4 linked regions of the Saccharomyces cerevisiae S288C genome follow. Changing the gene in region 2 together with the main gene of any one other region gives a genetic interaction. Each region holds a gene or a part of one and is shown on either strand. Other genes may lie near its edges.

What was found.
Region 1: mutations in MMT2 (region 2) and ECL1 together harm fitness more than expected from each alone (negative genetic interaction), as found in Saccharomyces cerevisiae (one large-scale study listed by BioGRID).
Region 3: mutations in MMT2 (region 2) and YHK8 together harm fitness more than expected from each alone (negative genetic interaction), as found in Saccharomyces cerevisiae (one large-scale study listed by BioGRID).
Region 4: mutations in MMT2 (region 2) and OSW7 together harm fitness more than expected from each alone (negative genetic interaction), as found in Saccharomyces cerevisiae (one large-scale study listed by BioGRID).

Annotation. Positions count from the first base shown.
Region 1 is NC_001139.9:781,255-788,190, reverse strand, and holds ECL1 (Ecl1p), read left to right. Parts: upstream 1-3,332; coding exon 3,333-3,968; downstream 3,969-6,936. Other genes in the region: 60S ribosomal protein eL24 RPL24B, read left to right, coding at 412-879; NAT2 (Nat2p), read left to right, coding at 1,271-2,137; YGR146C-A (uncharacterized protein), read left to right, coding at 2,754-2,915; ribosome biosynthesis protein ENP2, read right to left, coding at 4,301-6,424; THI4 (thiamine thiazole synthase), read right to left, coding at 6,812-6,936. UniProt on the Saccharomyces cerevisiae protein: Involved in chronological cell aging.
Region 2 is NC_001148.4:123,623-131,568, forward strand, and holds MMT2 (Mmt2p), read right to left. Parts: upstream 4,467-7,946; coding exon 3,012-4,466; downstream 1-3,011. Other genes in the region: NEW1 (New1p), read left to right, coding at 1-1,735; ribosome-associated Tef1p biogenesis chaperone CHP1, read left to right, coding at 2,384-2,824; GRE1 (Gre1p), read right to left, coding at 5,010-5,516; FMP40 (Fmp40p), read left to right, coding at 6,540-7,946. UniProt on the Saccharomyces cerevisiae protein: Mitochondrial metal transporter involved in mitochondrial iron accumulation.
Region 3 is NC_001140.6:201,199-209,357, reverse strand, and holds YHK8 (Yhk8p), read right to left. Parts: upstream 4,752-8,159; coding exon 3,207-4,751; downstream 1-3,206. Other genes in the region: divalent metal ion transporter SMF2, read right to left, coding at 55-1,704; FSH1 (putative serine hydrolase), read right to left, coding at 2,165-2,896; AAP1 (arginine/alanine aminopeptidase), read left to right, coding at 8,048-8,159. UniProt on the Saccharomyces cerevisiae protein: Probable drug/proton antiporter.
Region 4 is NC_001138.5:230,068-238,193, forward strand, and holds OSW7 (Osw7p), read right to left. Parts: upstream 3,478-8,126; coding exon 1,945-3,477; downstream 1-1,944. Other genes in the region: IRC5 (putative ATPase), read left to right, coding at 1-1,874; SAP155 (Sap155p), read left to right, coding at 4,175-7,183; ERJ5 (Erj5p), read right to left, coding at 7,301-8,126. UniProt on the Saccharomyces cerevisiae protein: Involved in spore wall assembly.

The sequences.
Region 1 (6,936 bases), on a different chromosome or scaffold from region 2:
TTGAATTGAAACGTATGTCGCGTGCCCATTAGGAAATGAGAGAATATTGAGGACAACGAGGAGCTTCGCAGTGTAGGAATTGAGAAAGAAGCGACCATTTGAACAATGCTGAGGTTAATAAGAGGCCCACGATAAAGGCGTTATATTAATCAACGTTGAACATCTTCCCAGAAAAGTACATGCGAATAAATCAGGACCGTCGAAAGACGTACGGAACATCATTGGCAAATATACATCGGGATCTGTTGGATATGCTTGTCGTGATGAAATACTGTTCTCGTTGTCGGCTTGATAAATTTTCTCCCATTTAAAACTCTTTGAACCAAAATTGTGTACTAACATCAATTTGTATATAAACCATGAGTGTATTTCACCTTGTGGTTTTTCACAGCTTTTTAATTTAGAAGAACAATGAAGGTTGAAGTTGATTCCTTTTCCGGCGCTAAGATCTACCCAGGTAGAGGTACTTTATTTGTCCGTGGTGACTCCAAAATTTTCAGATTCCAAAACTCCAAATCTGCTTCTTTGTTCAAACAAAGAAAGAACCCAAGAAGAATCGCTTGGACCGTCTTGTTCAGAAAGCATCACAAGAAGGGTATCACCGAAGAAGTTGCTAAGAAGAGATCTAGAAAGACCGTTAAGGCGCAAAGACCAATCACTGGTGCTTCTTTGGACTTGATCAAGGAAAGAAGATCTTTGAAGCCAGAAGTTAGAAAAGCTAACAGAGAAGAAAAATTGAAAGCCAACAAGGAAAAGAAGAGAGCTGAAAAGGCTGCTAGAAAGGCTGAAAAGGCTAAGTCCGCTGGTGTCCAAGGTTCCAAGGTTTCCAAGCAACAAGCTAAGGGTGCTTTCCAAAAGGTTGCCGCCACTTCCCGTTAAGATAATTAACTTTTGTTAGTTTTTTATTAATAATATATCATTACAAGAAAAATGAAATAAAAAAATAAAAACGTGATCCGTACTTATTTTTGTGTTAAGTATCAAATAATATAATATATAAAAGACCGTGATACAATAGAAATCTGCGTTACGTTGAAAACGTCATAAAGGTATCTTTGGGATGAGCAGTTGTTATTGTTCATGATCGTTACCCGGCTTCAAGTGGATTTTCACGAAGCCTATGGGCTTGACATTTACATGATATCACATCTTTAAGAACAAGGGAAAACCAAAGTTAAAAAGTAGCATAAATTCCTCTTAGATCGCTGCAAGGAGATTAGATCTTCCCTTTCTTTTTTGAAATTTTCTTTTTTGGTCTAGAGTTGGGGTGATGATGGTACCCAGGATTAGTGCTTCACCAGTTTTCAAGAGGATATTTCTTCGATGGGGATTTGTAACTTTACCCATACAGAAAACCGTATCCCATACACTGCGCAGGGACTTTAGTGCCCCTTGTAGGAGTATGGTAAAATGCCTTCTCCTACGACCTGGGATAAGTGTGCACTCAGCACAAGACAGAAAATTTTACAGTACAGAGGAAAAAAGTAGTCAGTTTGATGAAAATAAAAGCAAAAGTAACAATGGGAAGAAAAATGAGCCACACGGTATTAAAGGATTAATGGCTAAGTATGGTTATTCTGCACTGATCGTATATATCCTCTTAACTTGTGTTGATTTGCCATTATGTTTTCTGGGAGTCCACTCACTAGGTGAAGAGAAGATTAAGATCTATCTGAACAGAGGTAAGCAATTGATTGGGATGGGTGAGCCTGACGAAAGCAAAGTCATTCAAGATGTTAGAAGGAAACAGGCTCATCGCGAAGCAGTGCAAGCAGAGAATGCTGACAAGGTGGAGGACGCATCGAGGAAAACTTTCAATGAGAGATGGCAAGAGATGAAGGACAGCACGTTGTTGGCCGAATTGCTAATTGCGTATGGCATACACAAGAGTTTGATCATCGTTAGAGTACCCCTGACGGCAGTGCTAACGCCATCCTTCGTCAAGCTTCTGCAGAGGTTTGGCATCGACTTGATGAAGAAGCAGAAAAAGGTATTCCAAACGATGGCCTCTGGTGCCAAAATAAGATACAAAGGGAACAACCCTAGCGATTTCATCAAGAATGAGGGCACAGCGCTCGACATTACAAAGCGCAAACCAAGAACCAAAGGCCAGAAATGGTTTGATGGCCTAATGTGAAAGAATATTAGCGTAGGCTTAGCATGTATATAGAGTTTACATTTCTTTTCTTTTTTCTACGTAACCACGTTGTTTACGTACTAGTAACAGAACATTTGGCCACGTGAACAGGTCATAGAAGCTTCTACCGTACTCATTTTACATAAGCCCGGTTGCTAGTGCTATTGCTCGCGATCCTTCTAAGAGGGATCGTTAATCCTGCTAGCTGTACCCCGGCCGAGCCACCCAATGAGCACTGAGGAGGGACCTCCACGTGCCAAACGACACTCAAACGGCAACAACAGATCGTATTGTGCCGCCTGAAGTCGCATTAATTCTCAACGGGAAGCTCATCCCTCAACGAAAATCCTAGTGCGCCTTTCACATATGTTCCAGAAGATTCGCTTAGTCGGCCAGCTAAAGCGGTTCAGCTTTTGAGCTAAAAATACTTGGAAAAAATCTGGCCGTGACCATAGGTTACCGCGGAATAGAGGAGAAGTTTTCATCTCTTTTTTTCTTAATGTAGGGCACACGACTCGGGTGTATTTGCTACCGTGTTTATTACCGTCATTCATCGCCCCATCTCATCGCTTTTGCGCACCGGGTTCAGATCATTCAATTTTCTTACTTTTTTATTATGGGGTTCCTCCCTGAGTGTAATTTAACGTGTGCTTTCTTATTGCATTCGTTTACATTCCCTATTGCTCATTGCCCTTCTTTCAGTTGGGCATCTTTTTTTTTCACAATTAGGCCGCCCTTTTTTCCCAAATTGGCACTTGTTTGTACGATCTTTAGCTAGAACTTGGAGACCTGAAACGTGGTGATTCTTATATTTAAAGGAATACCGATCTTTTCCGTTTCAACACCCCAATTGTGAGAATTTTATTTCTTGCATTTCGGAAAATTTAGATACATTCACATCCATACTTGGACACATATATATATACAATATAATCATTGACACAGGCCATCGCCATTGAGTAAACTGTCTTTGAACTGTCTAAAGAACTTAGAACTATAGTGTTGTCCCAAGAAGTTAAAAATTGAACACTTGTGAGAATTATAAAACAGAGTAAGCAAAGAAAGAATAGAGAAACAATACTCCGCTACCGATTCTCCTTTTTTTCCTTATAAAAAAAGCTCGAGAATAATTACTTTATTCTTATCCCTCCACTCCTTTCAGGTATTCTTTACCGATTTGCATATCAATCATATAATGAGCACCGCATTCAACGATTACTGCACTGTTTGTGATCGTCTCATTCCAACATCTCCACAGAAAACGAACATTAATACCAGGAAGATCCAAAGGGACAATGAAACCAAGAGCAGTTTACAATCAAATAAGTTATATTGCTCCGAAGATTGTAAGCTGAAGGATTCGAACCCTCTTAATGAGAAATTATTATCCCACTTGCATAAAAAATCAAAAACTTCTCATTCGCATAATCTCACTCCACCGCTTTCATATTCTAAAAATTTAACTGCATCAAACCTCTTCGAGCCGACTACCTCACTATCTTCATCTCCGACATCTTCAACTATCCCCTTTGACGAGTTGGAGAAGCTAGAGTCCTTATTAATTTCACCATTGCTGCTACCTCAGGATGGTATAGTCAATCCTAAGCAGGAGTCTAATCCTTCTCGTGTTGACGAATATGATGAAAATGAACATTATTTGAACTTAGCCGACTCTCTTAGACTCGATTCTAGTTACCAATTGCATTCAAAGGCACATTTGGGTTACGAAAACAACTTGCCACGATCAAACGATCTAATTGATGATCATTTGATCTCAGATCAGATCATTGAGAATAACTACAACCTATGGTTTAGACTATCCTCCAGTTAAACGGCTTCACTTGCTTCGTATCTTCTTCGACTTGCCTTTAACCTACTCATGATTCATGCTTATTTTTTCTTTTTCGATTTCCTTTTCTAGTCATCCTAAAAAAAAAAAACCTACACATATACATATATACATAGTTCTCTACACATCCTTTTGATAAAGAAAATATGTACGTACATCTGCATTAAAAAAAAAAAACAAAACCCTCAATATTTGGGGAAAGAATTCTATAATGTAAACTGTATCACGCATACTTTTTGCTGTCTTCGTCTTCATACATATAATATTTTTAGTTTAAGGTGAAAGGATAATTAAAATATCAATTTCTAATATAACTACATACCACGGAACGCATTTTTGCTAGCTCTTCTTCTATTTTCGAATCTGGGCTTCGACCTACCATTGTCCTTCTTATTACCATTTTCGTCAATACCTTCTTCATCCGATGAATTATCATGACGCCTGGATTTATAATTTCCGTCTTTTTTGCTTTTTCTTTGAGGAATAAAAGTAAGTTCTGCTTCACCGCGTTGGTTACGACGTAAAATGGATTCATTTGATTTCTTTCCATTTTCCACCTCAAGCAATTCGCCTACTTGTTCGCCAAATGTAACGTGAGCACTTTCGTCTCTTTGCGTACTCGTGGAAGTGCCGGCTTTCATTTCGTTCATAAAACGTTCGCTTTGCTCCTTTTCCTTCTTTCTGCGTTCAATTAGTGCCTTTTGCTTTTCCATCTTTCTCAAATCTTTTTCACTTAATTCTTCCTTATTTGACTTTTGGTTCGTTTCATCATCAGATTCTTCTTCATCAGACTCTTCATCCTCGTAGTCATAGTGACCTCTGCCATCCTTCATTGCAATTCTTTCTTCGTCGGACTCTTCGGCAGCAGTTAGCGCCCTAATACGTTTAGCAGCACCTTCTTCGGTTTCTTTGATGGATTTTACTGGATTCAATTGTTTGAAATCATAGTCATCTTCATCGACTTGAAATTCTTCATCCTCAAACATTTCTTTGAAACGGTCATCCGTAAGAACCTTTCCTGCAACTTTATCACCACGTTTTTGAGATAGTTTATCAACCAATGTTTTATTGACTTTAATTTTAGGTTTTTGAACAGCCCCTGAACTTCTGATTCTGGATTCTCTTTCTTTCTCAATTCTACGTCTAATTTCTCTTTCTCTTTCATCTTTGTAGGCATCTGGATTAGCAATTAATGAAACCTTATCGTAAAGTTCAGTGTTAATAAAGAAACCATGCATGTATGCTCTTAATACTCTGGATCCCACCAAGTGCGTTAAATTCAATTTTTTAACGTCGTCTCTAGTAATGAACCTGTAGTTAGAGTAAACAGTGTCACTTGGTTTTTCTTCTAATTCTTCTGTGATAGAATCCAAGAATGAGCACCAGCGTGGAGATGGTCCTAAACTTGGAATATAATATGTATGCATGGGAATACTTTCGTTAGCGGTGAAAAACATACCTGTACCTGGTACATGCTCAATGTCGTTAATATCAACACTAGGCTCCATAGAAGCGTATGCCTTACCATCTAGTCTATCCCATATTTTTGCAATTCTCTTGTCACATGTAACAATTTTATTTTCCGTGCCGACGTTATCCAACCAAATAATTTTCTTAATGTCAAACCCATAACCTTGGTCTTTAATAATGGAAGGTTCAGAAGTACGCAAGTCATAAATGTATGAATAACCGTTCGACGTACCACATGCAAAAGTTAACCCGTCATTACGGAAACTGGTTGTGGTGACTTGGAATGGTCTGTTGTCAATATTGTTCTCTAAATATAGCTTTGAAACACGGGAACGCGACCTTGGATCCCAGAATTCCACTACATTTGTTTCCGTGCCTGCCGCTAACAACCCATTTACTTCATTGATAGAAACATGGTTCACGCCTTCAGTATCCAACTTGAATGGGTTTAAAAATCTCCCCTTTTCCAAGTTCAACCTGTATAACTCATTACCGCTCGCACCAACATATAAATCACAGTTTACCTTATTGTAAACTAAACTTCTCCCAAATTTAGGAATTCTTGTGGTGTAATGTAGACCACCTTTGTTTTGGAATTGAATACTTCTATCATTTTGTAAATGTACACTTTTAGTCCAATCGTCAGAGAGAATAGTGAAATCCACGTTTTCAGCATCTGTGTGTCTATCGAACTTCAGTGACAAATTAGCAAAATCGTAGACATGGATCTGAGGTTTGTATGTACCGGTAGCCATGCAATATTGCCCATCTCTACTCACTTTAATCTTATTGGAGGCTTCGCTAAATTCAAAATCTTGAATCAGTTCTACTCTATTTTGATATTCTAAATCATTCTTTAATTGCCTTTTGCGCTTTTTCGCAATCCAGTCTGGAAGTGATCTTGAAACGTTTGTACCAGAAACCTGATATACTGAAACATCATTTGCGGAAGTAGATTTCAAAACCATAATGTCCCCTTTTTGAAGATATATGTTGATACCTGTAACTGATGTAATAAATGATGTGTTACTGATTACAGCCGATGAGATGAGATGAGCTTAGCTCAAAATTTTCAATTTTTTTTTTTCTTAATTTTTTTTAAGATCATATTTGGTTACCCGACCATGAAGTGACATTTGAAGAATTGATTTATATTTTTAATATTGCAAGATGTGCGAAAACTCACCATTACAGAGATAACTAAAAGTCTTATCTCATCACTATCGGATCTTTCCACTTAGTATTTTCTACGGTTAATTTAAAAATCAATAATAAAACAAAATCATCAGCGAAAATTGTGTATATAGCGTGTATAAAAAATATATAAATCTTTAAAAGCATACCTCATTAAAAGCCTAAGCAGCAAAGTGTTTCAAAATTTGCTCAGCAGCATGAACACCACTCAAAGCCATAGCTCCAAAAGTTGGACCCATACGGTTTAATCCATCCAGTTCAGCAACTTCCATACCAGCAAAGTACA
Region 2 (7,946 bases):
TGGTCAATTGGATGGTTTTCCTGACAAGGATACATTACGCACCTGTTTCGTCGAACATAAATTGCAAGGTGAAGAAGGTGATTTAGACTTGGTTTCCTTCATTGCTTTAGATGAAGAACTGCAATCTACTTCTCGTGAGGAAATTGCAGCCGCTTTAGAATCTGTCGGTTTTGATGAAGAGAGAAGAGCACAAACTGTTGGATCTTTATCTGGTGGTTGGAAAATGAAGTTGGAATTGGCAAGAGCTATGTTACAAAAAGCTGATATTTTATTGCTGGATGAACCTACCAATCATTTAGATGTTTCGAACGTTAAATGGTTAGAAGAATACTTACTGGAACATACTGATATTACTTCATTGATTGTTTCGCATGACTCTGGTTTCTTAGATACAGTCTGTACTGACATCATCCATTATGAAAACAAGAAATTGGCTTACTACAAAGGTAACTTGGCAGCATTTGTTGAGCAGAAACCTGAAGCTAAATCTTACTATACCTTAACAGATTCTAATGCTCAAATGCGTTTCCCACCCCCAGGTATTTTAACAGGTGTTAAGTCTAACACTAGAGCCGTCGCTAAAATGACTGATGTAACTTTCTCTTATCCAGGTGCCCAAAAGCCTTCCTTAAGCCATGTCTCCTGTTCATTGTCTCTGTCTTCTCGTGTGGCTTGTTTAGGTCCTAACGGTGCTGGTAAATCCACTTTGATCAAGCTATTAACTGGTGAATTGGTTCCAAATGAAGGTAAAGTGGAAAAACATCCAAATTTACGTATTGGTTATATTGCTCAGCATGCATTGCAACACGTCAATGAACATAAGGAAAAGACGGCAAACCAATATTTGCAATGGCGTTATCAATTCGGTGACGACCGTGAAGTCTTATTGAAGGAATCCAGAAAAATATCCGAAGATGAAAAGGAAATGATGACAAAGGAAATCGACATTGATGACGGTAGAGGTAAGAGAGCCATTGAAGCTATTGTAGGTAGACAAAAGTTGAAAAAATCTTTCCAATATGAGGTCAAATGGAAATACTGGAAACCAAAATACAACTCCTGGGTTCCAAAAGATGTTTTGGTCGAGCATGGCTTTGAAAAATTGGTTCAAAAATTCGACGATCACGAAGCCTCCAGAGAAGGGTTGGGTTACCGTGAATTAATTCCTTCAGTTATCACCAAACATTTTGAAGACGTTGGTCTTGATTCTGAAATTGCTAACCATACTCCATTAGGTTCTTTATCTGGTGGTCAATTAGTTAAAGTCGTTATTGCCGGTGCTATGTGGAACAACCCTCATTTACTTGTTTTGGATGAACCTACCAACTATTTGGACAGAGACTCTCTTGGTGCTTTGGCCGTTGCTATTCGTGACTGGAGTGGTGGTGTCGTTATGATTTCGCATAATAACGAATTTGTTGGTGCTTTATGTCCTGAACAATGGATTGTGGAGAACGGTAAAATGGTTCAAAAGGGCTCTGCACAAGTTGACCAATCCAAATTCGAAGATGGTGGTAATGCTGATGCCGTTGGTCTAAAGGCCTCCAACTTGGCCAAGCCATCTGTAGATGACGATGATTCTCCAGCTAACATCAAGGTCAAGCAAAGAAAGAAGAGATTGACAAGAAATGAAAAGAAGCTGCAAGCCGAACGTCGTCGTCTACGTTACATTGAGTGGTTGTCATCGCCAAAAGGTACACCAAAACCAGTTGATACTGACGATGAAGAAGATTGAAAGCCTACTGGCTAGTGTTTTATCTTCGCTAACTTCGTTTGTTTCACTCCATCTTTTTTCTTTAATTCACTCCTCAAATGGAGTTTACTACGTTGATAGAATTTAGGACAAGCATATGACGCTCTCCTTCCTTTTTTGTTTTCTAGGTTAATTCATTTTTCATACAGAGTAGTTAATATTGGTTCTTTTCATATATGTACGGTACGCAGATTAATTATGTAAACTTAAACTTAAGGGATCCTTTTTGATGCTAACAATTGTCGATGTTGAACTACAAATTTATGTAAGAGGTCGTTGTTAAGGATTATTATTTTAAAAATACACGAAGATTGATTATTATTTCTTACATGAGGTTATGAATCGTGCTCCAAAAGTATACCAAAAATAACTCCTGAACTGCTAGGCACAGTTTGCGATAATTTAAAGGGGTTAAATACACTTTTACTACTGGCTTTCACCTTATAAATCCCTCATTAAACTAAAGATGAATGAACATTGTTGAAGAAATTGTCCGGGTAAGAGGTTGTACTAGGGAGTGATGAACATCCATAAATTCTTCGACTAGCAGAAGTAATGATAATTTTCACCCGTTAAAGCTACATCTGGTTAGATGGACTAGAAGAACCACGACGAAACAATCATATAACAATGTCTACTTTTAATGCAGAAACCGCTGATAACTTGGAAGATATCGAGAAACAATTCGCTGTTGTTGCTGTTGAACAAGCGGAAACATATTGGAAACTATTAACAAGTGTTCCCGGTTCCAAGTTACGTTTGACTAAGTTTGATGACGAAATATACGAGAATTTTATGGAGAGATTCCCAGAATACAAAGATGTTGAAAGGGTCAAAAAGTTTACGGAGGAAGAATTAAAAACAAAAGAAGCCAAGGAAAGATGGAGAAAGTTCTTCACAATTTTTGAGAAAAAAATCGAAGACTATAACTTTGGTACTTTGTTGAGGACAGACGCTTCAGCCGAGTATGGTCAATTTACTACTTGTTTTGTCGTGAGACTACAATTTTACGCTTTTGAAATTGCTAGAAATAAACACGGCTTGAACGATTGGATTGTCGGTCAGAAATGAACATGCATATATATTTGTGATTGATTATATAGAATACATTACTTTATACAAAGGAACAACACAAGGCATTCTTCCTTGTTCAACATATATATATATACATATATATATTAAGCTCAGTAAATTGTTGAAATGTGAAAGGCTGTACTTTTGCTCTTAACTTTTGAAAAAATTCATCATTGAGAATTCCCTAATGTTTATGGGTGTGAGTATCGGCAGAATCAGAATGAGTATGAGTATGATTTGTTGATTTAGTGTCATGAGAGTGCTCCAAATCACCTTTAGAGTCAGAGGTTACATCAACAAACTCGACGTCCACCTTCCCCACGTTTGGCACCTTCATACGTAAATCCTCTCTTATAGTCGAAATAGCGTTTTCCAAAAATCTTATCCCAACTTCCTGACCTGAATGTAATACTGGCACTTCCAAAGTTGTGGTGGCACGAAGATTAGGACCGGAAGCTAATATAGTAAGGTCTCTAACATGTAACGACTGTTTGAGATCTAAGTCTGTTTTCAAACTGCCAATGCTGTCTTTTATGACAGATTCGATTTCTAGATAACGCGGATCAGTAGGTGGTATAGATTGGTCAACTAACTCCTTCAGTGAGGATAAGATACCTTGTCCACCTGTTTTTATGATCAAACCTGACACTACAAGCCCACCTAAATTATCTAAGGATTGAATGTTGAAAAAATAACTAGATGTGATAGCGACCAACGCTACCAACGATGTCAAGGAGTCAACACGATGATGCCAGGCGTTTGCCATTAGTACATTAGAATTTGTTTGGATTGCAACTTTCTTTGTTGCCTGAAAAACCCATTCTTTAACCAAGATAGAACCCGCTGCTATCCATACAGCATTTACATTAGTTGCCTGTTGTGTTAGCGACTGAGAATGGGAATGCGTTTCACCAATTAAACCGGCCATCGATTCTAGAATGGCATGAGGAATGACAGGCCCCACAATAGCGCATAACGACGACCAACCGATAGATATACCAGCCATTGCTAAGATTGTGGATACTGCCAAAGATCCCACAGTTTCCACTTTACCATAGCCATATGGGTACTCCGAAGTTGGTTTACGAGACGCATATTGGACAGAAAACAGTGTTAAAAAATCAGATACCAAATCGCTAAGAGCATGTACGGAATCAGCAAGTAATGCTTGAGAATGAAAAGTGATTCCTCCTACAAATTTTCCTACTGCCATCCCCACATTTGATGCAAGTCCTATCCATGTTATTCTTACGCCAGGATTCTTCTTGATCTGCTGTACGTTCAGTGACAATAAAGGATTGTCATGCATATGTGTGTGGCTGTGACTATGAGTATGTTGCAACAACGACTTCACAGAGGAAGCCTTGCCTTCCTTCTTTCCTTCACTTTCATTCTGTCTGGAATTCGATCCATTCTGTGAAGACATTTTTGAAATGAGCTGTTCATTATAGCCCTCTTCTTGACCTTCTTTATTTAGCAGTTTCGAAGAATGCAGGCACCTTCTCGGGTTGGCTGAGATCATTGTACTGTACAGGCTTGATGTTCTTATGGCCCTCCCGGCAGCATGGTAACTAGTGTTGTTATAACCTGGCACAAAGGAACCGAATTGCTTGATAGAGTCAATACTTATCCGTAGCATATCTTTATTGCGTTTGCTTTTTTGAGAAAGTAATTGCTTACACGTTCTAGAATAAAAAAGTATGGTTGTAAGAACGCACTTGAAAAGGCACCAATCTGCTCGGGTTTTTACAACTAACACTAACCTAGATGAGAGGTAAAAAGAAATCGTAAAAAAAAGTTGTTGCCCAGCACAATAACGACACTTTACCCGCTAATTCCAGGAGGTTTGAGTTAGACAACGACCTTCCCACCCCGTTTTCCCATAATTCTATTGTTATACACCTGGATCTGGAGGTCCGTGAAACGGCATACCTCGACGAAAAAGGTCACTACTAATCAAATCAAACTGACATTAATAAAAACGTATAAACTGACAGCTGTAGATCTAAATAAACTAGATTAAACATATGAAATAGTTTGTAAAAAGTGGCATCATGACCAATAATAGGTCCAGATGAAGAAAAAAGAAAAAAGAAGACGAAATTAGGGTAAAATTTCTCACTTGCTGCTCAAGGGTGAGACCCGCACCTCAGGCATGTAATAGAAGCTTCGACCACCGCATCTACCAGACGCCTTGGTTCCCACTATCATCATCATATTCATCGTTTCCTGACCCAGACAGATCGCGTCTACCGCTGCCGATATTAGAGGATTGGTAGCGGTTACTTTGAGCACCTCTTGTACGACCTTGTTTTTGCTGTTGGCCCGAAGTCAAGAAGTCATCGTCTTCATCGTCGTCCAACTGACCTTGAGTGTTAGTTTCGCGGTAAGTTTGGGTATAAGTGCCACCACCAGTGCCGGCAGTGTAGTCAGTAGTTTGTTGCTGGAAGTCGTTACCGCCAAACTGCGTGTTACCGCCTAGATTAGACTGTGGCTGCTGGCGTTGAGGGAAATTCCCTTGGTTTTCTTCGCCGTAGGGATCGGCCTTGGATCCTTGATTCCTGAATTCCCTCTGTTGATGTTTTTCATGACGCTGTTGTCTAGTCTGGTCGTCATTGTCGTCTTCGTAACGTTCATCATGATCGTTGCCGTGCAACTTATCAGCAAACTTGTTTAATAGATTGGACATTTCTTAATTGTTATTCGTACTTAGCTTTTATGCGGTAGTGTTTGGCTCTGCTGCTAGTAGATATTAAGAGTTGAGGGTAGGTATGTATCCTTTTTTTGATGAAATAGTAATGTGCTTTTATAGTCCAAGAAATATTGACTGCTTCAAGGGAGCCTGATTAACAAGCACGTAACGGAGACCAAAAAAAGGATTTCGGTCTTTTCTAACCATTTCCCTTTACTCCCTTGTGCGTTATTTGTTTTGATTACTAGGCATGATGTATGGAGGAACTTGCGATCAAATGTCATAAAAGTGGAGGAGTGAAAAGAAATGACGAAGCCCAAAACGTGGTCCTAGAATTACCACATTTCCTTTTTCTAAAGGAAGCCAGACTATGCTTTACGCAAGAACTGTGGTTAAAGAGGGATATTCTGATGAACATAAATTCATACACATTCATGAGAAGCACGACAAGGATTGGTTAATTACTTACAACTAAGGCAAAACTGCCATTGACCTCATCTGTACCACCACATGCTGTGTAGTTATTTTCCCTTTGTGATCCCTAAAAAAGATGGGATCTACACACCTTACAAGAACATCCTCAAACCCATACCTGGAACCACTGAACATATTCTTCCCGTGAAAGGCTCTACGGCGAAACTACTGTAATGTCACAGGAAATTAAGGATGCTTCGACTATGGAACGGACCATACATGGGGACCCGATGTATAGAAAGCCTCAATGAGGCAAAGAGTCTAGCTCCTTTAAGATACGTAATTCTCCTTCTGTTTTCCCTTAATTATTCGGGTGAAATACCACATGGTCGCACGGCTGACGGGGAACTCCGGAATTGGACGATGAAGAACTTAACGGTGATATGAGGTGATCGTGGAACAAAACGTTGTGCCAAAGAAGCCACAAATACGTCACTGTAATTATTCTGCCTGCATAAAAAGAGCCATCAAGGATAAGCTAGAGACTATACTCCGGAAGTAGAAGAAGGAAGGTGTGAGAAAGAAGATAGAGCGTGTAACACAATCATGGGGGAAAAAAGGACAATAATCAAAGCGCTGAAAAACTCTGCAGCGTCCCACTTCATCAAGAAGTTGACCGCAGATACTTCCCTGTCGTCCATACAAGAGGCAATAAACGTCGTGCAGCAGTACAATGCAACGGATCCCGTGAGATTAAAGCTTTTCCATACGCCTCGGATGGTTTCGCAGGGGGCTCATTTTGCATTTTGTTTGCCCACTAAGAAACCACATTACAAGCCATTACTGCTTTCGCAAAACGCACTTGATGAGTTTAATTTGGTGCAGGATCAGGACTTGGAGAAAATACTATCCGGTGAGAAAGTATATTATTCCGATAGTATCTTTCCCTATAGTACAGTGTACTCCGGATTTCAATTCGGCTCATTTGCTGCACAGCTGGGAGACGGACGTGTGGTAAACTTGTTTGATCTTAAGGACAAGTGTAGCGGACAATGGCAAACGTTTCAGTTGAAAGGTGCCGGTATGACGCCATTTTCTCGGTTTGCAGATGGGAAAGCTGTGTTAAGATCAAGCATACGTGAATTCATAATGAGCGAGGCGTTGCACAGTATTGGAATTCCATCCACAAGAGCTATGCAATTAACTCTGTTACCGGGGACGAAGGCGCAAAGGCGCAATCAAGAACCGTGCGCTGTTGTATGCCGTTTTGCGCCCAGCTGGATCCGCTTGGGTAACTTCAACCTATTCAGATGGCGGCACGACTTGAAAGGGTTGATCCAACTATCAGATTATTGCATTGAGGAATTGTTTGCTGGGGGGACCCAATTTGAGGGGAAACCCGACTTTAATATATTCAAAAGGGATTTTTTTCCTGACACTGAGACGAAGATTGATGAGCAGGTGGAAAAGGATGAAACTGAGGTGAGTACCATGACCGGAGATAACATTTCCACATTGAGCAAATATGATGAGTTTTTCAGACATGTAGTTAGCTTGAATGCAAACACAGTGGCCCATTGGCAAGCGTATGGGTTTGCTAACGGTGTTTTGAATACGGATAACACCTCCATTATGGGCCTGACAATTGATTATGGCCCCTTTGCCTTCCTGGACAAGTTTGAACCAAGCTTTACCCCGAACCATGATGACACAGCGAAGAGATATTCGTTTGCCAACCAGCCAAGCATTATATGGTGGAACTTGCAACAGTTTGCCAAGGATCTCGCATGTCTGCTGGGTCCTGAGGCCCGTGACCTTGAATTGTTACTTAAGGGCGAACTGAATTCTGTTGATGACGCCCTAGAGAAAACCATGATTGAAAGGGTCCAGAAGTTGGTAGAGCTCAGTGCTAATGAGTACAAGTATGTGTTTACGACAAGGTACGCGCAGATAATGTCTCAAAGACTCGGTGTAGATCTGGATCTGGAAAAGTGCATGTCTTCTACAAACCTC
Region 3 (8,159 bases), on a different chromosome or scaffold from region 2:
TGTTATTATTCTTGGATAAAATGTATACTTATACTAGTCTAAAGAATTGTTATATTAGAGGTGTACTTCTTTGCCCGTAGTAAAGCCCAGTAACATATAAAAGTTCAGTCCGGAGATAATCAACCATACTATGATTGCGAGCACGGTGACGATCATTCCATTGCTCATGTCTTTGTATTCTGGAGCAGGAGAAACTAAGCTGCGCTCCTGTGAGCTGCTGCCTATGCCCATTTCTTCGAGCTCAATGGTCTCATCATCTTCGGTTCGGTCGGCCACGGGTTTTTTGTCTGTAGTTCTTGAAAGTTCTTTGGTACGGTTAAGCTGTACACGCATAATCTTCTTGCTTGAAGTGAAGTAAAGTAAAGGTGCAGAAACAAAAGGCAGCAAGAGAGAAAGTACCACTTGGGAAGCATTTAGTGCACCAGAGAGGCCGCTACGTCCAGCTACAAGCACTAAAATCAAACAAGGCGTGATGGCTACCGCTCTTGTGGCGGATCTTCTCAATGCCGGAGAAACAGTCCAATTTAAGAACCCTTCACTAACCATTTGTCCACTCAACGTACACACGATACCGGCACTCTGTCCTGAAAACAACAATGCCAGCACGAATACCGTTCCCGCTCCCTTGGAAAGAGTACTACAGAGTAAGTTGTAAATAGAAAATAAGTCAGCTTCCTCAGCATTTTGAGTGGACCCGTATAGTGTAGCGCCAGACACGATAAGAATGGCACAATTGACAAATAATGCCACCGTGAACAGCGAGATCAGTAATTCCGTTATAGTAAAGTGCAGAGTTTCACTGATGGCCTCATAGGATGGCCTGTAATTATCGTGATTGTTATCCATATCATTCGCGTCTGGCAAGTAATGTCCGTTTTTGATATCATACTCTCTTAATCTTGGTTGAACCACACCTGACCCCAAATATAATGAATGAGGCATTACCGTGGCGCCCAGAATTGCCAGACTTAAGTATAACCCATCACCTTCAAAAACGGCTTTACTGGGTAAGAACCCAGAAAATATTTCTTTGGCAGGTCCCAGTTTGGCATAAAACAGTTCAACAGTAAAGCAAACTACGGTAAGAACCACCAATAAAGAAACAAAAGCTTCAAATATTCTGATACCCTTCATGGAACCGTTAGGTTTGTAAGCTAGCAGAACAATTAAAACGTCTACCACAGTAAGTATCACACCTAGGGCGAGAGGTATATGGAAAAGGATATTCAAAGAAATAGCGGTTCCTACCACTTCTGCCAGATCTGTGGCAATAATTGCCATCTCCGCCAGAATATAAAGAGTAATGTTAAGTCCAAAGGGCAAATGTTTCTTACAATTTTGTGCCAGATCTAGGCCAGTGACAGCACCCAATCTGGCGCAGAGGTACTGCCAAAAAGCAGCCATGAAATTAGAAACTAAGACAGAAAATAAAAGCTTGTACCGATGAGCAGAACCCGCTGCTACAGCTGTACTATAGTTACCAGGATCCATGTACGATACAGATACCATCAAACCAGGACCGATGAACCTAGCATATTTTCTCAATGTTCCGATCATGCTCTGGGATGTTGAGTTTGGCTGCAAAGTTGTTCTTCGACGCGACTCATGAGTGGTATTCACGTCGGCATACGCATCGTTGACACTATCATTATTTGTTTGGGATTCATCGCTCCATTGAATAGGTTCATATTCTTGGGACGTCATCAAACATAAACGCTATACGGAAAATTAGTGGTTAAATGGCAATAGAGATGTGCTAATATTAGTATCAAAACAAATAGTTGTTGAAGAGGGTTTTCTAAACGGTTAAACGCGTTTGATGGTTAAATGACTAGAAGCAAAAGGAGACTGATTCTGAAATTTAATATGATTTCTTTTTTTTCTGCTGTTTCTCTTCTGCATTATTTTCTTCCTTCGAGAAAGAGTATAAGTATGTTTAAAAAGGTCTTCGTAAGCCACGCTAAAGCACCCCGGGTGGATTTTTCGCGCCGGGCGGGGTTAGCAGCACGCAGGATGGAAGAGAAGAGAAAGGATGCTACAAACTTGTGGTTCATTCTATACAAAGTACTTATATGTATATATACATACTCGATCAGCATTTCACTCCACACACCCTGCGTGTGATAGTAAAAAGCTAGAAAGCAGGTAAGCAACAACCTACGATTTATTCAGAAGCTTCTTGTAAGGAAGAGGTTATTTGTTCAACAATTGGTCTGATAATGTCCTTCTTGTTTGGAACCATATGTCCACCAGGGTGTTCGTAAGCCAACACCTTTTCCTTATTACCATTTTGCGCCTTCAAATAAATATCGTACAGGTACTTGGATCTGACGGATGGGACGGCTTGGTCAGAAGCACCATAGATGAAGATCATCTTGGTCTTCATGTCTGGTTTTACCGCAAATGAGTCTCTGAATTTTTCGGTTATTCTCAATTCTCCAGGATGTTCTGGGTCTGGCTCGGTGAAGGAATAGCCGGAAATGACTACACTTACCTTGAATTGTGGATGGTCTGGAACTAACTCTGAGATCTTGTTGGTGATGATAGAGGACAATGCGGCACCTTGAGAGAAACCGACAATGCCGTCGTATGGGCCATTGGCCTTGATGTGATCAACAACAGACTTCAAACCTTCTGAGATATCCAATTCGTGAGAGATTTCGCTGTGATAGAACCAGGCTCTGTTAACATCCGCATCTAGGGTGGCTTGCCATTTTTCATCATCCATTTCAAATGGCAAGTCCTTCTTTTCTAAAAGGACTGGTGCATCAATATAGTCACATTGGACATTAGCCTTCTTCAATAATTTTCTAATACCAGATGATTTTTCGGAGAAAACTTTACCGTTTTGCAAGAAGCCGTGTAAAAATAATAATTTTGGAATTTGTACAGTCATCCTTCGTTTATTACAAGCTAGAGAGTTTCAGATTTAGCTGCTACTTTTACTAGAAAATTAAGATTGGCCGCGTACATCTGGCATTTTGCACCTTTATGGTTTATATACAATATACATTGCAGCCAAAAACATTCGAAAACTAGAGAAAAAGAAAGAAAACATGCGAGAATATGCAAAAATGAAAAAATGCAAAATTTCTTTTTTCTTTGGCCTATGCGTGTTGCCTTTTGAAGATCCGAAACAATCTATCACCAATGACGTAAGCGGGAAAAGATTATGCAACATCCAAAGGAAAAAATATGCAAAAAAATCAATCATCCCATGCATACGGCGACTTGGCTCTCAGTCGGGCACCGTATTTGGTAAACAGAAATGGGACAGGAATCATCGCTACGGTCACCATTGCCAAGAGAAAGCCGGCCCAATTCACTCCCATTGACTTGTACATCTGGAGTCCGAAAAGAGGGAAGACACCGGCCATTATGCATCTCACAAATGTGTTACAAGCCATTCCAGAAGCTGCATATCTTCTATAGGCATCCACTGTATACGCAAAAACACCGGTAAAGACGAAATAAACACCTGAACCGAAAATTGCACTGCCTATAATTGGTGCAATCCAATGGACATGCTTGTAGCAGGTGAATGCAAAAATGAAGAGCCCAACTGGGGTCAAAAAGGCGCCGTAGAACAGAGGCTCGAATCTCATTTCGGGAGTCTTGACGCCATTATTTCTTTTGACTCTCCACTCAAACGTTTTTTGGAATAACAAGCAAGTAGGAGCCGAGAGTATCATGCCGACCATAATACCGATATAGGAGCATGCAATCTCCATGGGCCCAAAGTTGTAAAGTTTCTTGAACACATAAGGAAACGCTACGAAATATAAATATATTATGGCAAGTTCCAATCCAGTATAGAAGCAAAGCACACCCATCATTCGGTCTCGAAGTAACAGGCCAAAGGGTCTTTTGGTTGAGAGAAAGATTGCGGAAAGTAAGGAAGTCTGTTCGCGGGTGACTTCCAGGACAGCATAATACCGTTGATCATTTTTCTCTTTCCTCAATCTCTTAGCTTTACGTATTAACAGCATTGGTTTGTAGGTTTCAGGTATGGTAAAGATGATCATAACGAGACAACATCCAGAAGTGATGAGAAGTGTGATAAATGTCCATTTATAACTTTGATGGTATAAGGCTCCACCAATGATTGGTCCTAAAGAGGGCCCCAAAAAGGCCGATGTAGTGTATATTGCCATAGGAATACCAATTTGGTCTTTGTCGAATATATCGGCAATGGCGCCGCCAGCCACACTTAGAAAGGCTGAACCAAAAAACCCGGATAGAAATCTGCCAAACATGACACCCGTAATGGTCTTGGACCAAATGGTCAAACACTGCCATATGATACTGAGCGTAAGGGCGTATAAAAATGTGATCCTTCGTCCATATAGTTCACTTAGTGGAGACAGAAATAAAGGTCCTATACCGAGCCCAAACACATAAAGCGTAATTCCCAGAGTGCTGACTTCGTGCGAAATATGAAAGTGTTCGATTATGTGCGTTGAAGGAAGCGTCCAGCTGGACGAGATCATCGTAATTACCATCGATGTGAATGTAATTAACGAGGAAATATAATACCGGCGGGCGGTGCTCATATGCCGTGCTATATCTTCTGGGTCCGCGATGTCCTCGTTGAAGGTCACTTCATGCGATTGTTTGCCGTCATTTTTTCGTTCACTGGTCAATTCCAGATCCAGTTTTGCGGCTTTGTCTGAGTTTATTGAACAATGCTCTTCTTCAGTAGATGTCAATGCCGATGACTGTGCACTCGCTATTTGAAATTCTGCAACCATATCCTGTTGTTATATCTGCATATATATGTTCTTAGTATACAAGGTGATACCATACACCAAATGTAAGGCAAATATGCCTTTATATAGGGTCCAGGTGAACGTAACGCATCTAATAACAAGTGTTATTGCTTGACCTAATAATCTGAGATGGTCGCTTCACCGGTAGAAAAATTCTCTGCGTATTACTAATCTCAACAATAGCCAACACTAAATCCGTAGGACCGGCGAAAAGCGTGCTAATCTCCGCTTTATTGCCGGATCCGAAAGGTGTTTCTGGCATCAAGATGTTATAAATCACGGAATTAAGAGAAGGATATTAAATGTGCCATTGCATTTTATTGATATTTCCACTCACCCAGAGGGATAATAATGATCAAAACAGATATACAATTCAGCTCCACTTTTACCTGCGCAACATGACATTTCCAGAACTAGCTTACAATTCGTACACCGGTTATAATTGGTTTATGGTTTCCAATGTAGGACCAATTTTTAGAGATAAATACTGAAGCAAATATTGGATTTCTTCTGTGTTTCACACGAAGAATATGAGTGAACCATTATTCCGGCTTTTGTTTCCTACAGCAAGATGTAAGTTATCTGGTTTGCTTATTACTTAGAAAAAGGGCTCCTGCTGGTGGAGGTAAATTAGATTATGCACCTATCGGCGGGTTAGCGTTGGGCCGTAGCCTTTTGGTCGCTTGCATTTACCACGTATTTTTTCCTTTCAATTTATTATAAGCTTAGAGATACGATTTCAAGGCGCAGCTCTTCTGTTAGCAGTTTTCTCTACGACTTTGTATGAGGTTCATCTCATTTTGTTAGCTTCTATTCACATACCTACTATAACACTAATCCTGCTATGGTTCAGACCCAAATATCTTCAACCCCTGCCATAGGAACTGTAAAAAATAGATTGTAATTCAAAGTACCTTCAGAAAAAAAAAGTTATATACGGCGCATACTACACAGTACGCAATGTGTCACTTGGTACCGCTGTTCTTATGTTCGTTTAAACAAGATCTCGAGGTTTGAGTCAATGTACGAGATTTTGAAACCATGAGGGATGTGCCCTCAAACTTTATGATCTGGTTTCTTTTTTTATTTATATCGTTTTTATGCTGGGTTACGTTGTTGTTTTATATTCCTTGTCTAGTATTACGGTCAGCAGAGGCCAAATCCTATATGCATTATATGTGGTTAGCATTGACTCCTTAATAGAACGGCCAGTTATCAATCAAATTGCCTATAAGCATGGATCACTAGCGGCTAGTATTGTATTGCATTTGGAATAGCCCTCTTCGTTGAGCCACAAAGATATCTTGCGGAAATGTGGCTAAAGCAACTTTTGATGATTGCTGGGAAACGGTTTGGTAAACTGCTGAAGCAATTGTTGTACACAATACTTCTGCTTTTGGCCCCATCTGGATTTTTCATTTCCGCTTTTGCCTCAGGTGCAACAATAACTATCTTTGAGCATCGTACCACCAATACAAAAGGATATGATCGTTATCATACAGAATTTTTCATGGATTTTGCATGTTTCGGTATAACTTTACGTAGGTGAATTATTGAAGGGCTTTGTGATAGGTGTGGATGTACCTGCCGTGCGTTGATGACCTTCAACTGATCGGAACAAATTGCTATTACATGTAAAAATCTCATGTATGAGCGAATCTTTTTGTGTTATAGGCAATCACCTAGAAAAGCTTGGAAATTGGTCCTGAGTTTTTTGTTGATGGTAAGTGCATTTTTTTAGTATGAAAGGTTTACGATATTAGCTGCTAAGTTCTCCCTTGCCCTAGTGAATTACGTTTTTTTCGATTAAAAGGGTTGGTCCCGAAATTGACCTCTTATATGTACCTCAATTGCAGATAGCATCAAATTTAGACTACGTCATCAACCAAATTACACCCTATGAAAAACATAAGATTATAAGCATGCGTTTGTGTAAAGGTCATACCATTTTATACGTTGACGCAATGGTGCAAATAGAAAGGTTTACGAAAGCTCTTATTCCGCTTAGCGCAATTCTATTGTTAATTTCAAGTAAAAAGATAAATATCTCACGTCCTTATATTATCTTTGATTAAAATTTCACGATCAATGTAACGAAAAAAGGTCGCAAATATTTCTTTTTCATCACTCTGATTAAACAATGGCATCATGAAACGCTCATTGGATCGTTACACGTTCTCATTGTACATATGTATGATTTAGAACAGCTTGTTCGCCTGATCTCCACCTTATACCCTCATCTTACCGCAGTGCGGTTTTACGCCTCATGTTATTTTTGCCAGCTTTAATAACAACATCAGTAATATTACGTTATTGGATCTTCCACTCCGGTTCGAGGAAAAAAAGAGAGGAGGAGAAACGCATAAGCTACAATAATGAGTGAGTTAACGCTTTAATTTGCTCAGTGATCATTGCTAGCCGGATATTTGTGTTTTTGTAGAACCCAGCCATACCTAATCATCTCAGTATATTATCTGAATTCTTGACTCAAAATATGGATTTTCTCGAACGTCTCACTTCCAATCATCCCATCAAATGCTGTGGATGAAAACATTTAAAACACGGGCAAGAAAAAATGAGTATAGTATAGTTGTGGCCAGTTCTTGTTGTACTAATGCACTTGCTTTCGTATCAAAGTTGAAGAAGCACTGAAAGAACAACAAAAAATTTATTAAAAGCAAAAATCATTCTACGTTCAACGAAAATGTAAGGCAAATATATCTTTATATAGGCAAGCATAACCGACGCTAACTTTGTTCGAGCTTCATCAACGTTATTAATATCGTAGTTATTCCGCTTTGTCTCAATAAGCTTTTGCTTACTTGAGAAAAAGAACGAAGTTTCTGTTTGAGATTTTCCTTCTCATTTTCTTTGAAATTTAAAGGAGAAATATTCAGCTCTATACATTCTTTGTTCGAGTATGTTACACATCACCTTACAATGGGAACATCCTATGATGACATACTTCTTCTCGATGATTTATTTTTTTTCTCAGCAAACGCTGTTTTCTAGGCGGTGAAAAACGGGAGTCTTCATCCCACATTTTTTGAACTCGTTGTGAAAGTTTTTTTTCGTACTCTTGGACTTGGCTGTGGGAGTTTGACACATTTTTTTATTTTTTTTCCGTTTTTTTCCCTTTTGTTAGCGATCAAACTTTTGACTTTATGAGTAATCTTAGCTAATCATTTAGAATTATCTTCAGGGAAGCTTATTCAATTCGTGATTTTTCTTTGAGGGTTCCTGTTCAAGCAAGCCAAATTGCCCTCTCAGCTAATACCATGTCCCGTGAAGTACTGCCAAACAACGTTACCCCATTGCATTATGACATTACACTAGAACCTAATTTCCGTGCTTTTACGTTTGAAGGGTCATTAAAAATTGACCTGCAGA
Region 4 (8,126 bases), on a different chromosome or scaffold from region 2:
TTAACTGGCTGATCACTCTTTATGAAAATGGCCTGAACGGAATTCTTGCCGATGAAATGGGTCTTGGTAAGACTGTTCAAAGTATTGCTCTTTTGGCGTTCATATATGAAATGGACACAAAGGGTCCTTTTCTAGTGACTGCACCATTAAGCACCCTAGATAATTGGATGAACGAATTTGCAAAATTCGCTCCTGATCTACCAGTTCTAAAATATTATGGGACCAATGGTTATAAGGAACGTTCTGCCAAGTTGAAAAATTTCTTTAAACAACACGGCGGCACGGGGATCGTCATCACATCATATGAAATTATTTTAAGAGATACCGACTTAATCATGAGTCAAAATTGGAAATTTTTAATTGTTGATGAAGGCCACCGTCTGAAAAATATAAACTGTAGATTGATTAAAGAGTTAAAAAAAATCAATACTTCCAATAGACTGCTACTAACAGGGACGCCTTTACAAAATAACCTAGCTGAATTATGGTCACTTTTGAATTTCATAATGCCCGATATCTTTGCCGATTTCGAGATATTCAATAAATGGTTTGACTTCGACAGCTTAAATTTAGGCTCCGGTTCCAACTCTGAAGCATTGAATAAGTTAATCAACGATGAACTACAGAAAAATTTGATTTCCAATTTACACACAATTCTGAAACCATTCCTTTTGAGAAGATTGAAAAAAGTTGTTTTGGCTAATATTCTGCCGCCAAAGAGAGAATATATCATAAATTGTCCGATGACGTCTGCACAGGAAAAATTCTATAAGGCTGGATTGAATGGAAAGTTGAAAAAAACCATGTTCAAAGAATTAATCAAGGATTTTTTCACATTGAACGATGAATACATCGGCCACGTTTCTAATCGGTCCATACGAGATTTCATCAATTATAAACTATCTGGTAATGAAACTTCAAATACAGACAATAAAATCAATCCAACCTTGTTGCAAATGGACAAACTATATAAGAAGAACCTGCAAATGGAAATTTCAAATAAGAAATTGCAAAATATGATGATGCAATTGAGACAAATCATTGACTCAACTTTTTTGTTTTATTTCCCATATTTACACCCAGAAGACTTGACTTTGGAAACTCTTTTAAAGACGTCTGGGAAATTACAAATCTTACAAAAATTAATCCCCCCATTAATATCTGAGGGGCACAAAGTGCTTATTTATTCTCAGTTTGTTAACATGCTCGATTTGATCGAAGATTGGTGTGATTTAAATTCGTTCGCGACATTTCGAATTGATGGTTCAGTAAACAATGAAACAAGAAAGGATCAACTCGAGAAGTTTAATAGCTCGAAAGATAAGCATAACATTTTCCTATTGTCCACAAGGGCGGCAGGACTGGGTATTAATCTAGTCGGGGCAGATACAGTTGTCTTGTTTGATAGTGATTGGAATCCACAGGTGGATTTACAAGCCATGGACAGGTGTCACCGTATTGGCCAAGAATCACCGGTTATAGTATATAGGTTGTGTTGTGATAACACCATTGAACATGTTATATTGACCAGAGCGGCCAATAAGCGAAATTTGGAAAGAATGGTTATCCAGATGGGAAAATTCAATAACCTGAAAAAATTGGCGTTAAATGAAGGTTCTTTTTTGAAGGCAAACAAAGCGGGTGTTAATGTCACTAATAAGGACTTAGTCCAGGAGTTATCTATGCTTTTAATGAGCGATGAATCCAATATAGGCTTTGAAAATGGGGGACAGAAAGAAAATAAGGCTACTGAGGGCCAACTGACTGATAAGGAGGTTGAAGAATTGACCAACAGATCTCTTGAAGCGTACAAGGCCAACAGAGTCGTAGATCTGCCGCACGTCAAGCTATTTGAAACAACCTCCGGTCTTTAACTTGGTTATCATACAATATTGTTTTTATTAAATGTTTGTATATATGTACATATACATACCTATATATTGATCAATGTTCTTGCCGTACAAATTCTTCCTCTAGTTGTTCCTTTAGTTCACGGTTTTTGAATAAAGTATCCGCAGTATTCATTCGTTGCAGAAAGGTATCTTGAATATTATTTTTTGTGTTCTGGAAATCAGCTTTTAGTTTAGTAATCCATTCCAGTATCAAAGTCATATCCAGATCATGTTTTACCAGACGGTTCCTCTCAGAAATAACTTTCTTTTTCAATTCCATGAAACGGAGCCAGTTGGAATGATTCTCTTCTATATAGGCAGGATCGTATTGATCTTCCAAATGGAGACCTCTGACGTCCATATATGCCATTCTTTGCGACCATTGACTTATCATTACATCGCCCCACTCTTCGTACACTTCGACGTTTTCAAGACGAATCGATTCTGCCAGTTTAGCCATTTCGGTAAGAAAAGAATCTAATGAATGAAACAGTGATTTTTCAAAGTCTAACAAATGTATTTTATAATTCTTCAGTATCGATGTGATAGATGATTTGGTAATGTAAGCTTCCAGTTCAACTTGACCCGATTCATCAAAATACTTTATTTTATTTTGCACAGGATCGAATTTAGAGGTACAATTAATATCTTTGATTTTTGAATCTAGAAACACTAATTGCTCATTAACGGTAGTGTTAAGGTCATCAAGATTCCTAGTGATTTCTATAGATTTATTTTGCACCTCGGCCTCGAACACAGACTGTATCTCTGAATCCAAAAGTGCCATCGCACTGTGTATTTTCGAATCTATAGCCTTAATCCATGCTTCATATTCCATTTTTAATGATTCTGCCTCGTAAGTTTCCAATTCTGCATGGCTATTGGAACCAATGATAATCTTTGACAAATCCTGCAAAATAGCAGCAGTGACGAGTTGTGAGTTCCCGTGGCCATCCTGTACTCCATCGAACTCGTATTCTTTATTTTCATCCTCAATTCCGACATCATCCTCATCCTCATCTTCATCCTCATCCTCATTTTCATTCTCATCATCCTCATAATCCTCTGTTTCCGAGTCTGTCTCAAAAATGGGTTTGGTGAGCGTGCCATCAGCGCTAAAGGAGCCGTATTTCATCCAATCCGTAGAGGAGTTAAATGGATTCTCTAGTACATTCTTCACATTGTCTGTATATGGCTTTAAATAGTACCAGGCAATCCTTAGATGATTTAATAAAGGTCCCAACTTGGAATGTAGCGAACAGCAGAGCTCATTTAGCCTTAGAAAAGAGAAAATATTGTACCAAAAGCGGTAAAAATATCCCATAATTCTCTTCAAGGATGAGTTGGGGTATCTTTCAATCAGTGGTTTTATCGATTGTGAGTACTTTCCAACTAAATAGTCAGAAACCGCTGAACCTTCAACCAATTTAGAATCGAATAGTGAGCCAACTGAAAATTCAGTATGCCGGCAAATGGGCTGTAAATCTGTGGCAAAGCTTCCCAGACCATTTTGCTGACAGACCAGATACCTTGCAATAAACACGCAAGCCAGCAAAGCAGTCGTTACTTTGAAAACGGCCTTCATGATTTTTAGTAAAGAACTAACCACCTTTTTCTTAGTTAAGAAAAGGTCAATCAGTAACAGAAATATGATAGTAGCAACACCCAAAAAAATGCTATCTTCCAATAGTCAAAAAGGAAGCCTCGATGCCATACAAGTCTCTTCTAAAGTACTATTATGTAATTCCTGTTAAATGATACCTGTATTGTGGCTTAAAAGGGCCGAAATGACAACAAAATGAGTAGGGTTAATTTAATTTTTAAAGAGGGCATTTATCTAAAAAATGAAAGACAACTATAGGGCTGGTAATTATAGAATAGGTCTTAGTAGGGTTATCCCTTCCTCTAGAAAAAAAGAAAGAAAAATAATTTTAAGTGGCCAATTAGAACCAAAACCAACAGTATCGTGGTATCATACGCTCCAAAGCAACTAGAAGAAAGGCCTTATTTGACCATTGGATTCAGTATTTTTTCTCCAAGTAGCGGTTAAAAGACTGAGAGACTAAAGCTAGATAGTGGGTTTGAGTGACTATCCCCTTTTTTCCTCCTCTTTTTTTATTATTTTGATTTTATTTCATTTTGATTTTATTTCAACACGATTAAGACACAAGCGTTACTTCCCTAGACTATAGTCTCTGCCGTTCCCATTCTATTGATTTTTGGAGCAGCAGTTTTTACAAAAGAAAAGAAAAAAAAGACGAAAACAACAAGCCAGAGTAAAGATGTCGTTTTGGCCATTTGGACAGAATCTTAATCACTCTAATATTAATAAGATCCTAGATGAATATTTTCATGTGCTACACGAACTGGAAAGGATTAACCCAAGCGTTGGTAAAGCCATTCCCGCTATTTTCAACAACGTTCAGGAACGAGGTACAAGTGACTCCCTAGATTCTATTCCGGAGGAGTATAGTCATGGTGATGAAGTGAAAACGGCACGTGGAGATCAGAAGAGTCGATTTGAGAAGGATGATCAGCAAGAACGGTATGAGAAAGAGGAAGAGGAACGGAGCATGAACTCTAGCGAATCTTCCACTACATCTTTTTCTTCTGGGTCAACTTCTAAAACTGATTTAGATGAGGAGGATATCAGCAATGCTACTGCTCCCATGATGGTCACCACAAAGAATTTGGATAACTCTTTTATTGAAAGAATGCTTGTAGAGACAGAGCTACTGAACGAATTATCGAGACAAAACAAGACGCTACTTGACTTCATTTGCTTTGGATTTTTCTTTGATAAGAAAACTAATAAGAAAGTGAATAATATGGAATATCTGGTCGACCAACTGATGGAATGTATCTCGAAGATTAAAACCGCCACCACAGTGGATTTGAATAACCTGATAGATTATCAAGAACAGCAACAGCTTGATGATAGCTCACAAGAGGACGTTTATGTGGAATCTGATACGGAGCAAGAAGAGGAGAAAGAGGACGATAATAACAGCAATAACAAGAAGAGACGAAAACGCGGAAGCTCCTCGTTTGGTAACGATGATATCAACAACAATGACGACGACGACGATGCGAATGAGGACGATGAATCTGCTTATTTGACAAAGGCCACCATAATATCTGAAATCTTTTCCTTAGACATATGGTTGATTAGCGAGTCATTAGTTAAAAACCAATCATACTTAAACAAGATTTGGTCTATCATCAACCAGCCAAATTTCAATTCTGAAAACTCTCCCTTGGTACCCATATTCTTAAAGATTAACCAAAATCTGTTGTTAACCAGGCAGGATCAATATTTAAATTTTATTCGAACGGAGAGAAGCTTTGTTGATGATATGTTAAAGCATGTTGATATTTCCCTATTGATGGATTTTTTCTTGAAAATAATATCCACAGATAAGATTGAATCACCCACGGGAATAATTGAATTAGTATATGATCAAAACTTGATCAGCAAATGCTTAAGCTTTCTAAATAACAAAGAGTCCCCAGCTGACATCCAAGCATGCGTGGGTGATTTCTTAAAGGCTCTGATTGCCATTTCTGCTAATGCACCCTTGGATGATATTTCCATTGGTCCAAACTCCTTGACGAGACAGCTAGCATCTCCCGAATCCATTGCAAAGCTAGTCGATATCATGATCAACCAAAGAGGTGCCGCATTAAATACCACAGTTTCGATTGTCATTGAGCTGATAAGGAAAAACAATTCAGACTACGATCAAGTTAATCTTTTAACCACTACTATAAAGACTCATCCACCTTCAAATAGAGATCCAATATATTTAGGCTATCTACTTCGGAAATTTTCAAACCATTTGTCCGATTTTTTCCAAATCATTCTAGATATTGAAAATGACGCCAACATCCCATTACATGAAAATCAGTTGCACGAAAAATTTAAACCTTTAGGATTTGAAAGATTCAAAGTGGTGGAATTAATCGCCGAGTTACTGCATTGCTCTAATATGGGATTAATGAATTCCAAAAGGGCAGAAAGAATAGCCAGAAGAAGAGATAAAGTAAGGAGCCAGTTATCCCATCATTTACAAGATGCATTAAACGATCTGAGTATCGAAGAAAAGGAGCAACTTAAAACGAAGCACTCTCCAACACGTGACACTGATCACGACCTAAAAAATAACAACGGTAAAATAGATAACGACAATAATGATAATGATGATGAAAGTGACTATGGCGACGAAATAGACGAGAGCTTCGAAATTCCATACATCAATATGAAGCAAAACATAAAACTTAGGACCGACCCCACGGTCGGGGACCTATTCAAAATCAAACTATATGATACGCGAATTGTTTCCAAAATAATGGAACTATTCTTAACACATCCTTGGAACAATTTTTGGCATAATGTTATATTCGACATAATTCAGCAAATCTTCAATGGAAGAATGGATTTTTCCTATAATTCCTTCCTTGTTTTGTCTCTGTTTAACTTAAAGAGCTCCTATCAATTTATGACTGATATCGTCATATCAGATGAAAAAGGAACGGATGTTTCCCGATTTTCTCCCGTTATTAGAGACCCAAATTTTGATTTCAAAATAACTACAGACTTCATATTAAGGGGCTACCAGGATTCATATAAATTTTATGAGCTAAGGAAAATGAATTTGGGATATATGGGCCATATTGTCTTGATTGCCGAAGAAGTGGTCAAATTTTCTAAATTGTACAAAGTGGAACTAATATCTCCCGATATTCAAGTAATTTTACAAACCGAAGAATGGCAATACTACTCCGAAGAAGTCTTAAACGAAACAAGAATGATGTACTCTAAAATTCTTGGCGGTGGAAGTTATATTGATGATGGAAATGGTAACATCATTCCGCAGCTGCCTGACAATACTACTGTATTAACTCCAAATGGTGATGCAAGTAATAATAATGAAATCCTTGATTCAGATACCGGGAGTAGTAATGGAACAAGTGGTGGCGGCCAATTAATCAATGTTGAGTCTCTAGAAGAACAGTTGTCCTTATCTACAGAATCTGATTTACACAACAAGTTAAGGGAAATGTTAATCAATAGGGCTCAAGAAGACGTTGATAATAAGAACACGGAAAATGGGGTTTTCATACTGGGGCCGCCGGAGGACAAGAACAGTAATAGTAACATTAACAATACCAACCATAATAGTAATAATAGTAATAACAACGATAATAACGATAATAATGATAATGACAATGATAATACTCGTAATTATAATGAAGATGCTGATAATGATAATGATTATGATCATGAATGATACATTGTTTTGTACTTTTCTTTAATTTGTATATATATATATTAATTTATATGTATAAGTACCATGTAGTTTTCTATTCATTCATTCATTCATCATGATAATATTACTTCTTACGTATCATTTACGTGAATAGATCACTTTACCGTTAGGCAATTCCATTTTCTTTTGGCCTTTCTTTGCAGAACCCTTTTTTACTTTGTTCCCCTTTTTTGTTTGGTTACCATCATACTTTTTACTATCCGTTATTATTTCTTCTTTTCCTGCGCTACCAACAGATTTGCCAAACGTCATGTTCCAAACCGAAGCAGGTATTCTCCAAAACAAACAGTTCTTTACTGAAGGTTTATCCAAGGTATCTGGCGAAATTAGTGTTTCACTTCCATCAGGCTCTACAACATAGACATCGCTAAACCTTACAACCAAACTTTTACCCTCATCCTTTTCATGTTGTTTAAACGTTAGTTGTTTTACGCCTAGTCCATTGGTATCATCCTGTTGTTTACACTGACTGATGAAGTTTTCAATTCTTGATCTTTGAGAACGATATTGAATAATAGAAATGATATACTGCCCAATATTAACGACTATCCAAATAAAGGCCAGCAGGAACCAAGTCTTAGGCTTCATTCTGGAAAAATAAAAACCACCCTTATGGAAATCATAGTTTGGAAAGCCATTCTGTAGATAATAATCATAAATCTTACGATTAGAGCTGTTTGAAAGAATTTGAGTAGCGAGGTTTAACCTTTCATACAATTTACGGTATTTAGGGTTCTTATCCGGATGGTACTTCTTGGATAGCTTTCTTAAGTTTTTTGTAATCTCCTTTGTACTAGAATTCTGCAGTTTAGGTAACTTCAAGAACTTGTAGAAGTTCATATCTGGGCCATATTTCGTACTTATTTCATTTTGTAATTGGAAAATTTCTGTTTCAATGGTGGTA